Linked DNA regions of Cricetulus griseus. The protein of the gene in region 2 interacts with the protein of the main gene of each other region in a biochemical or structural test. Links are inferred from orthologs where the notes say so. Each region holds a gene or a part of one and is shown on either strand. Other genes may lie near its edges.

Region 1 (4,278 bases), on a different chromosome or scaffold from region 2:
AACACAGGACGTCTAGTCCACCTGGACTGACTACCAAAGTACTTGAAAACTAATTTTATCTCCAGAATCAGACAGGAAAGCCACACGTCATGTTTTTATTATGTGACAATAAGGAGTATTAGAATTTTTCTCACTACTCAGAACTTCTGTTTTTGGAGTTCATGTTATCCAAAAAGGGGATTTGAGGGAAGTCATCCGGTGGTTCAAACCGTGGATTCACACTATGGTCAATCCTGTCCATTAGAGTGTTTCTCAAAACGGTAAAATCAGAAGAACAGGCAGGCACGATGACTCAGCGGGAGGCTGAGGCCACAAGTTCTGGGCTAGCCTGAGAGCCTGGTCCACAGAGGGAAAGATTAAGACCAACAGAAACCCAGCGTTTAATCCTTAACTGTCAAGGGCGAACCTACGATTTTTCTCTTGTTTCATTTATACCAAAAAGCGAAAACGAAAACTGTGAAACGTTTCCTGAACAACCCAAGTGAGTTACACATCCTTTCCAGTAAGTAATGTTCACCTGAACAGTGTTTCTATTTGAATCATCCAGAAAAATACATCAATTTTCTGCGAATGATCTGGGTGAGGCGGTCCTGCCCAGAAAATGTCCCCTTTGCCTACCCCACTCCACCCACTTAGCAATCACACCAGCTACACCCAGCTTAACAGTTGGCGAAGAAACACGTCACCCTGGTTCTAAGCTAAACGCCCCCTTGCACAGTACTGAAGTTTTCATCCTGTTTTCAAAGGTGTTTTTCTATTTTGACTTTAAAGTGTCTCCTTCACCCATTGGAGGTGCTCTTCAACCTTTCCCTAACAATAGTGCACAGCGCTCTTACACCACCCGCCCTGTCCAACAACCGTGTAAAATAACAAATGTACCACAAAACAGCACAGTAGGAAGAAGGAAAAGGAAAAAAAAAAAAAAAAAATCCTGGGGGCGGTGCGTTGATGTCGGAATGTGCCACTAGGCCGGGAGGGAGAACGAGTGCCGGTGTGAACCCCGTCTGGGGCCCTGGGTCATGCCGCGACAGGGTCGCGCGGGGCGCTGGCACAGCACGGAAGGCCGCAGAGAGCCGGCAGCGCGCGGGGTGGCGCAGGACGGTCCCGGGTGGGTGGCGGCGGCGGGTGCCGCCCCCCGTGGGGCGGTGTGGTGCGCTCCAGGGCGGCTCCGGACGGCAGGGAGGGCGGAGTAGCAGAGGTACAGGGCAGAGGCGTAGTCTTCACCATGGCGTATCCCGGGCACCCTGGCGCCGGCGGCGGGTACTACCCAGGCGGGGTAAGTGCAGAGCTCGGGTACCGCAGCCTCGCTCCTCCCCGGGCGAGAGGGCACCAGGGACGCGCGGGAGGAGGCGCTGCGAGCGGATCCTAGATCCAGATGCTCCGCGCTCTCGCCCGGTCCCTGCTGTGCAGACTCGGCCCCAATCCATTCTTCAGCCCTCTGTCTTCCTAGGGACTCTCCTCGGCCAACGGGTGTGTGAGCTGCGACTCCGGAAGCCCACTCGGTGACTTCACCGAGCAAGTTGTGCGTTCACTCTCTCTCTCTCTCTCTCTCTCTCTCTCTCTCTCTCTCTCTCTCTCTCTCTCTCTCTCTCTCTCTCTCTTATGCCCCCAAAGCGACAACAGCCATATTGATCTAAAATGGTCTTGTTGTCACTCACTTGAAAAGAAAGTGACAGGGAGTCCAAAAAGTCCTGAGAAATGAACAGGGGTCCTAGAGGAAGGGCACCTCGCCAGGTGTTAGGGATGTACTGTCAGAGACTGAAGGACCCTCGTCTCAGATACAGCGGGGCCATCTCCCTTCCTCCTCCCAGAGCACACCTGTCAACCCTGTACCAATTCCGACCTTACCTAGTACTGCAAGTGCTTTTAAAACTTCGTAAAAGCTGTTTAAAGCAACAGGAAAATAGTCCCGAGCCTTGCGTGCTGCTAAATTGTTTGCCTCGGTTACATTCACCTCTGCAACCCCCTACTTAATAGAGATTTTTAAGTGACTTCGCATATTGTGGCATCACTTTCGTGGAGACTTATTTTGGACCAAATCGCCAGCTTTTAAATGTGGATGGAGCGGGAGTGGAAGAGCAGGGTGGGTCGCTGCCCTTGTGTGTGAGGTCATGGGGGGGAGATGCTGTGAAGTCCATACAGGCAGGCAGACAGCAATTGCCTCTGCTGTGCTGTGCGCCAAAGCCTTGCGGGTGAAAGAACAAACTGGAATCTGTTCTGATGCTTCTCCACTTCCTTCTAACAGTATGGAGGAGCTCCTGGAGGGCCTTCGTTCCCCGGACAAACTCAGGATCCGCTCTATGGTTACTTCGCTGCTGTGGCTGGACAGGTTAGCCCTTTCTGTACAATACTGAAGAATCGTTTTATCTCTTGGTGTCATCGTTTAGTGCATGGCATCTAAAAGCGCTTACCTCATCCTGGAACTGAATCCCTTTGCCTGGGCAAAAGAAGGAAAAAAGAACAGAAAACTAAAACATTCTTACTTCAATCCTGAACAAAGTTGGACAGAGAATACCTGTATTCGTGCTAGATCAGTTCAAATCGAAATTTGTGATTGGAACTAGGGGTTCGATTGACCCAAAAGGGGATTGTAAATATACTTCGAAGGTCTATGAAGTAGAAAGATGCCTTTAGAACTGTATTATCAAGATAGAGCAAGGGTTGCTTACAGAGAAGAAGTTCAAGTTCTAAACGTAAAACCTCTGTTTGTCCAACCTAAAGGCCTGTATTAGATTAGTAATTCTGTAGCCCAATTATGATGGACACCTACTTTCAGTTGGATTTGATAATTAGTCATTTACCCCCTTAGGAGTTAAAGAGCCGCTGGCGTCCAGGCACTAGAATTACTGTCTGTATTTGGAAGGTGACCTCTACCCCTGCTGTAGATGGTCTTCCTCTGCTAGCTTTTGTATGTCCTTATTAGGTATTATGGCCTGCTGACCCTGAGAAAGAATTCAGGTCACAGAGTGACAAGTCCTAAGTCCCACCTCCCTCCCTTAGAGTTATAGGACAGTCTGTGGCAGCTATGAGGAAGGACACTTGCCCAGCTTGCAAGGTCATTCTGTGTTTGGTAAATGTACTGTTGAGTAACCCAACATATCCAGAGGGGATATTTATCCCTGCTTATTCACCTTAGACTGGTTTTAACAACAAGAGCCAGAAAGAAGGAAATCAAGATTTAAAAGGAAAAGAAAAAAAGATGCTGTAGATAAACCCTCGGGTCACCTTTGGAAGTGGTACTCTAAGAAACAGCGTTGAGAATTTGAATGGAAAATTGAGTCAAAGACTGGGAGACTTTCCTCTCAAGTATCTACTTAATCTGTTATTGATCTGTGTCTTTGAAACCGCAAGACATAGCACACCTCAAGACTAGCATTCTTAGATTGCTGGTGTCTCTGGCATGTAAGTGACCCGCCTACTTGGCTTTCAGCAGCCCTGGCCTCTATTCCACACATTCATCATTAATAATTTCAAATTATTGTTCCTTATTTATAACGGTGGATCTCGCCATCTTGGATTTATGTATTTTATTTAAAATCCCTGAGAGAGAGAGAGAGAGAGAGAGAGAGAGAGAGAGAGAGAGAGAGAGAAACAGACCTAGTTTTGACCTCAATCAGCCAATAAGAAGGTCTAGGAAGCTACCATGTATCTTCTACATTTAATTGTGCTCAGAAAACAGTGTCCTAAGTCTTAAGTTCATCCAAGAGCTTCTTGCTCCTTGGACCAGGCCTTGTATTTACTGATGCCTGAAAGATCTGCTGTACACTTTACTTTCTCTCTCAAAATGGGGGTGAGGGATATGTTTTTAAACAATTCCAAAGCTAATTGTATCTTAAAATGATTACTTTTGGTAGTTTCTTGGCTCAAACTGATTGGAGACTGTTTGCCATAACAAATATTCTCTCATCAAATTCCTTTTGGAATTAGGGTAAGGAGAAGAGTATCCAATTTTGAAAGGCATTCCTTTAAAAATGCTAGATATCCCTTTCTCTTGTCCTTGTCACTTAAGAACTTAAAAGTATGAACTACCATCATGATTCCTCTTCCTTTGTTTTATAAGGATGGACAAATTGATGCTGATGAGTTGCAGAGATGTCTAACACAGTCTGGCATTGCTGGGGGATACAAACGTAAGTGTTCTTAGATTCTAATAATCCCCTTGTTCTCTGTACTTCAACAGTTAACTGTAAAGACAGCAAGCTTTTCTGACCCACTAAGCTATTGTTTTTTATGTCAATTGAGCATAGTTTCTAAGTTATGAGACAGGTTAGTGGATTT
Region 2 (3,815 bases):
TACCAACGAACAGCAGTATTCAGGGAGCTGACTATTAGTGAAGTATGCGGACTGGCAAATGCTCAGGTACAAACGCATGTTCCCTCCACTAACATATACATTTATACTACACTCACCTGGCACATGGACACGAGGAGACGTTCAAAATGTCCTGAGGTATCTGACTTAATGTCCTTCTCAAGGTCTCGTCCAAACTCTGATTGATAACATCTAACAATGTCTCGAATTTCTTGATTTGTTCTTGTGCATAAAATCTCTATCAATACACGTTCTTGAGTTCCTGCTCCCTATATGAAATGAAGGGAGGGGGAATTACACAGAAGCAAAGGGAGGTCTCTGAAGATAATTAAGCTACATTTCAGATGACACAATATTTTGCCTCATCCATCATTGAAAATTCAAAACTATCAAAATTTGTGAGGCTTAATATATTAAGCAATACAGAATAATCATAGAAAATAAGATAGAGTACCTGCATTGCTTTCCTTAAACTCCAGGCATCATAGTATGTAGAAGGCATGAACAGGGCAAGGATCAATTCTTCCATATTTCCACTCAACTCTGACTTGAGATCTTTAATTAAATCCTGTTTAATAACATAAGAAAATTAAGTATTAAGTACATAAGATCTCTCTCTCCTCTCTCTCTCTCTCTCTCTCTCTCTCTCTCTCTCTCTCTCTCTCTCTCTCTCTCTCTCTCTCTCTCTCTCCTCTCTCTCTTTCATTTTAGAAACAGGGTTGCTCTGTGTAGCTCTGGTTATCCTGAAACAGCTTGCTCTGTAGATCTGCCTGCCTCTGCCTCCCAAGTGCTGGAACTAAAGGTGTGTACCACCACTGCCCAGCTAATACACAGGGTTTCTATATCTTATCTCACATGACATTTTTTCCTTAATTTTTATTTTATGTGTATAGGTGTCTTGCCTACATATATGTCTGAGCACCAATACATGCCTGCAGTGCCTGTGGAGGTCAGAAGTAGGCACTGGATCTGCCAGAACTGGAGTTACATAGGGTGGTGAGTCACTGTGTGGGTACAAGGCACAGAACCTAGGTCCTCCGGAAGAGCAGCCAATGCTCTTAACCATTGAGCCACCTGTTCAGCCTCACTTGGATCTTATGGAAAAATGAAATGGAACTGCCACTATGAAAGTCAAAATTTCAAAACTGAATGTGATATACTAAGCAATGAGTATTAAATTCAGTGATGAATTCATTGTGTCTAGAAACACATAAATCCTGAGAATGAGTAAATCTGTTAAATTTGGTGATAAAGTCATTGTGTCTATAAACACTTAAATCCTTGATACAGGTCTTCTATTATACGAGATACAAAGACAGAAAGTATGATTAGAAAAATAATATTCCAAAGCAACAAAATGAAGACTAATGAGATTCTGAGTAGGTAAAAGATATTTGCTAAGTATACAGTCAGAGTACAACCCTTGGAACCTATATGGTGGAAGGAGAGAACTGACTGCTCATCTCCATACATGTATGATGGCATGTGTACACACACGCACACATGTATACACTCACCTGCACAAAATAAATGAATATTTAAACAATGACAAGCAGATATTTACTTAGTGTAAGGAACTATTTTTGGTTCTATAAAGAAATAGAAATCACTATCATCTTGATCTCATTGGAAAGATAAACATCTAAAAAGATAATACAAAGCAAACTGTACTCTAGCACTATAGTGGTTTGAATGAGAATGGTTCCCATAGGTTCATATATTTGAATGCTTCATCCTCAGTTGGCGGAACTGTTTGGGAAGGATTAGTAAATGTGGCCTTATGGAAGGAGCTGTGTCACTGAGGGTAGGCTTTGAAGTTTCAAAACCAGGCTCAGTTTTGCTGTCTTTTTGCCTCCAACTTTCAGATAAGCTGTGAGATCTCAGCCACTGCTCCAGCACCAGGCCTGCCTGCCTGCTTGCTGCCATGTTCCCCACCAGGATGGACATGGACTCACCCTCTGAAACTGTAAGCCCCAATAATCTCTTCTATAAGATGCCTTGGTCATGGTGTCTCTTCACAGCAATAGAAAAGTAACTAAGACAAGCACCAAATAACCAACACAGAAACAAAGACCAGGTGACATTCTCAAAGAAAGCTTTTAGAATATAGGAAAATGAGCTGGATGGTGGTGATTCATACCTTTAATCCCAGCACCTAGAAGGCAGAGGTAAGAGGATCTCTTCGAATTTGAGGCCAGCCTGGTCTACAGAGTGAGTTCCAGGACAGCCAAGGCTACATAAAGAAACCCTGTCTCAAAAAAACAAGACAAAAAACAAAACAAAACAAAACAAAAAAAACAAACAAACAAAAAAACAGGCAGAGGGGAAGGAGAAAGTTATTAAGGTAAGAAAATGGACCACACACAAGAACAGAGCTAAGGTTCTCAGTAGTACAATTATCTATGTATTATTTTCTTTCTTTCTTTTTTTTTGAAACAGGGTCTCACTATGTAGGCCAGGCTGACCCTGAATTCCTGATTATCCCACTGTCTCAGCCACTTAAGTACTGGAATTATAAGTGTGCACTTATAATTCACACACTCCAAGCTTTACAAGAATTCTGAGTTTTGTGTTGCATAATTAACCTTAAGAAAAAAAAAACAGGACTCAGCAGGTGTCTAGTTTTTTTTTTTTTTTTTTTTTTTTGGTCAACTTGATGTTTGTCACTCAAAAAGAGGAAACAAGCACACAGAAGCATAAAAGACCAACTCCATTTAATTATACCATAGGGCACGTTCAGCAGAAATTAGAGGGTGGAAGGTGACCAATGGGGAAGAAGAAACAGGGACTAAGTAAGGAGCAGATCTTGTGGGGGCCATATCCATTGTTTCCTGAATGACTAGCACACACAAGACGCATATGAGGAGAGGTGAGGGACTGCTAACCCTGGAGTCTGTGAAGTCCATTTATCTGTCCTTTTCTCCACAGTATTAGTAAAAATATAGTGCCCATTCTGACATGGACACAGACCCTATAGAACAGACCCAGCCGCTTCTCACTAAAAGGGAAAAGACATACCTTGCCATACATGGTCTTAAAAGCTGTTTTAATTTGTTGCCTCTGGTCATTGGAACGGCTGGACACAACATCCACAATTGCTTGCTCATCTGTCCCTGGAAGATTCATAGACATATTTATATAAGGATGAGAATGCTTCTAAGGCAGTAGGTACCAGATAAAACTGAGGTGCAAGTTGACACAGGACTTCGTTTATCACACAGCCTCACTTTCTTTACAGTTAGGAAAAGACAATGCATTCTCCTTACCAAATCCCTTCATTGCTTTGCGGAGAATTTCTGCATCTCTCATAGCATCAAAGTTGGAGGCTGCTCGGATTGTCCCTTGGGTGCCCTGAGTCATCGCAGCAGGCTGATAACAAAAGAAGTATAAAGTTCTGCTTGGACAATAAGTCGAACTGAAGACTTCACCCAGACATATGTATGCAGGACTATGAGCATTTATTACCAGGCCTCATTTTGAAGTGACAGACATAGCCCCCTTCCAAACATTATTTGTCTCCTACTAACAGAGAGCCACACACAAAACTTCCATGAGACATGGGTAAATTGTGAAGCTAAAGTCATAACCTTCTTATGCCTTAGCTTCCTTTTTGACAGAAAGGGGGAGGTAAGAGATTGACTTCTCAGACAATCAGAGATGAATAATAATGTTTGATTTGAAGATAAGAAAAAATGGCATTATTGAAGTACACATGAGTGCCCAAGTGAATTTTCACACTAACAATGTAATGTGGATATCCTCTCTGTTTCCTATATGGGATCTTCTTATTTGCCAAG

The links.
Region 1: the proteins of Anxa7 (region 2) and Sri interact in a biophysical measurement, tested with the Homo sapiens proteins (2 studies listed by BioGRID and IntAct, with this or other methods). The link is inferred for Cricetulus griseus from reciprocal best matches to the Homo sapiens genes ANXA7 and SRI.

The regions. Positions count from the first base shown.
Region 1 is NW_023276806.1:186,791,964-186,796,241, forward strand, and holds the start of Sri (sorcin), read left to right. Parts: upstream 1-1,203; 5' UTR 1,204-1,225; coding exon 1,226-1,276; intron 1,277-2,242; coding exon 2,243-2,329; intron 2,330-4,060; coding exon 4,061-4,130; intron 4,131-4,278. UniProt on the Homo sapiens protein: Calcium-binding protein that modulates excitation-contraction coupling in the heart. Contributes to calcium homeostasis in the heart sarcoplasmic reticulum. Modulates the activity of RYR2 calcium channels.
Region 2 is NW_023276807.1:200,519,152-200,522,966, reverse strand, and holds part of Anxa7 (annexin A7), read right to left. Parts: intron 3,388-3,815; coding exon 3,285-3,387; intron 3,132-3,284; coding exon 3,037-3,131; intron 587-3,036; coding exon 473-586; intron 288-472; coding exon 117-287; intron 1-116. UniProt on the Homo sapiens protein: Calcium/phospholipid-binding protein which promotes membrane fusion and is involved in exocytosis.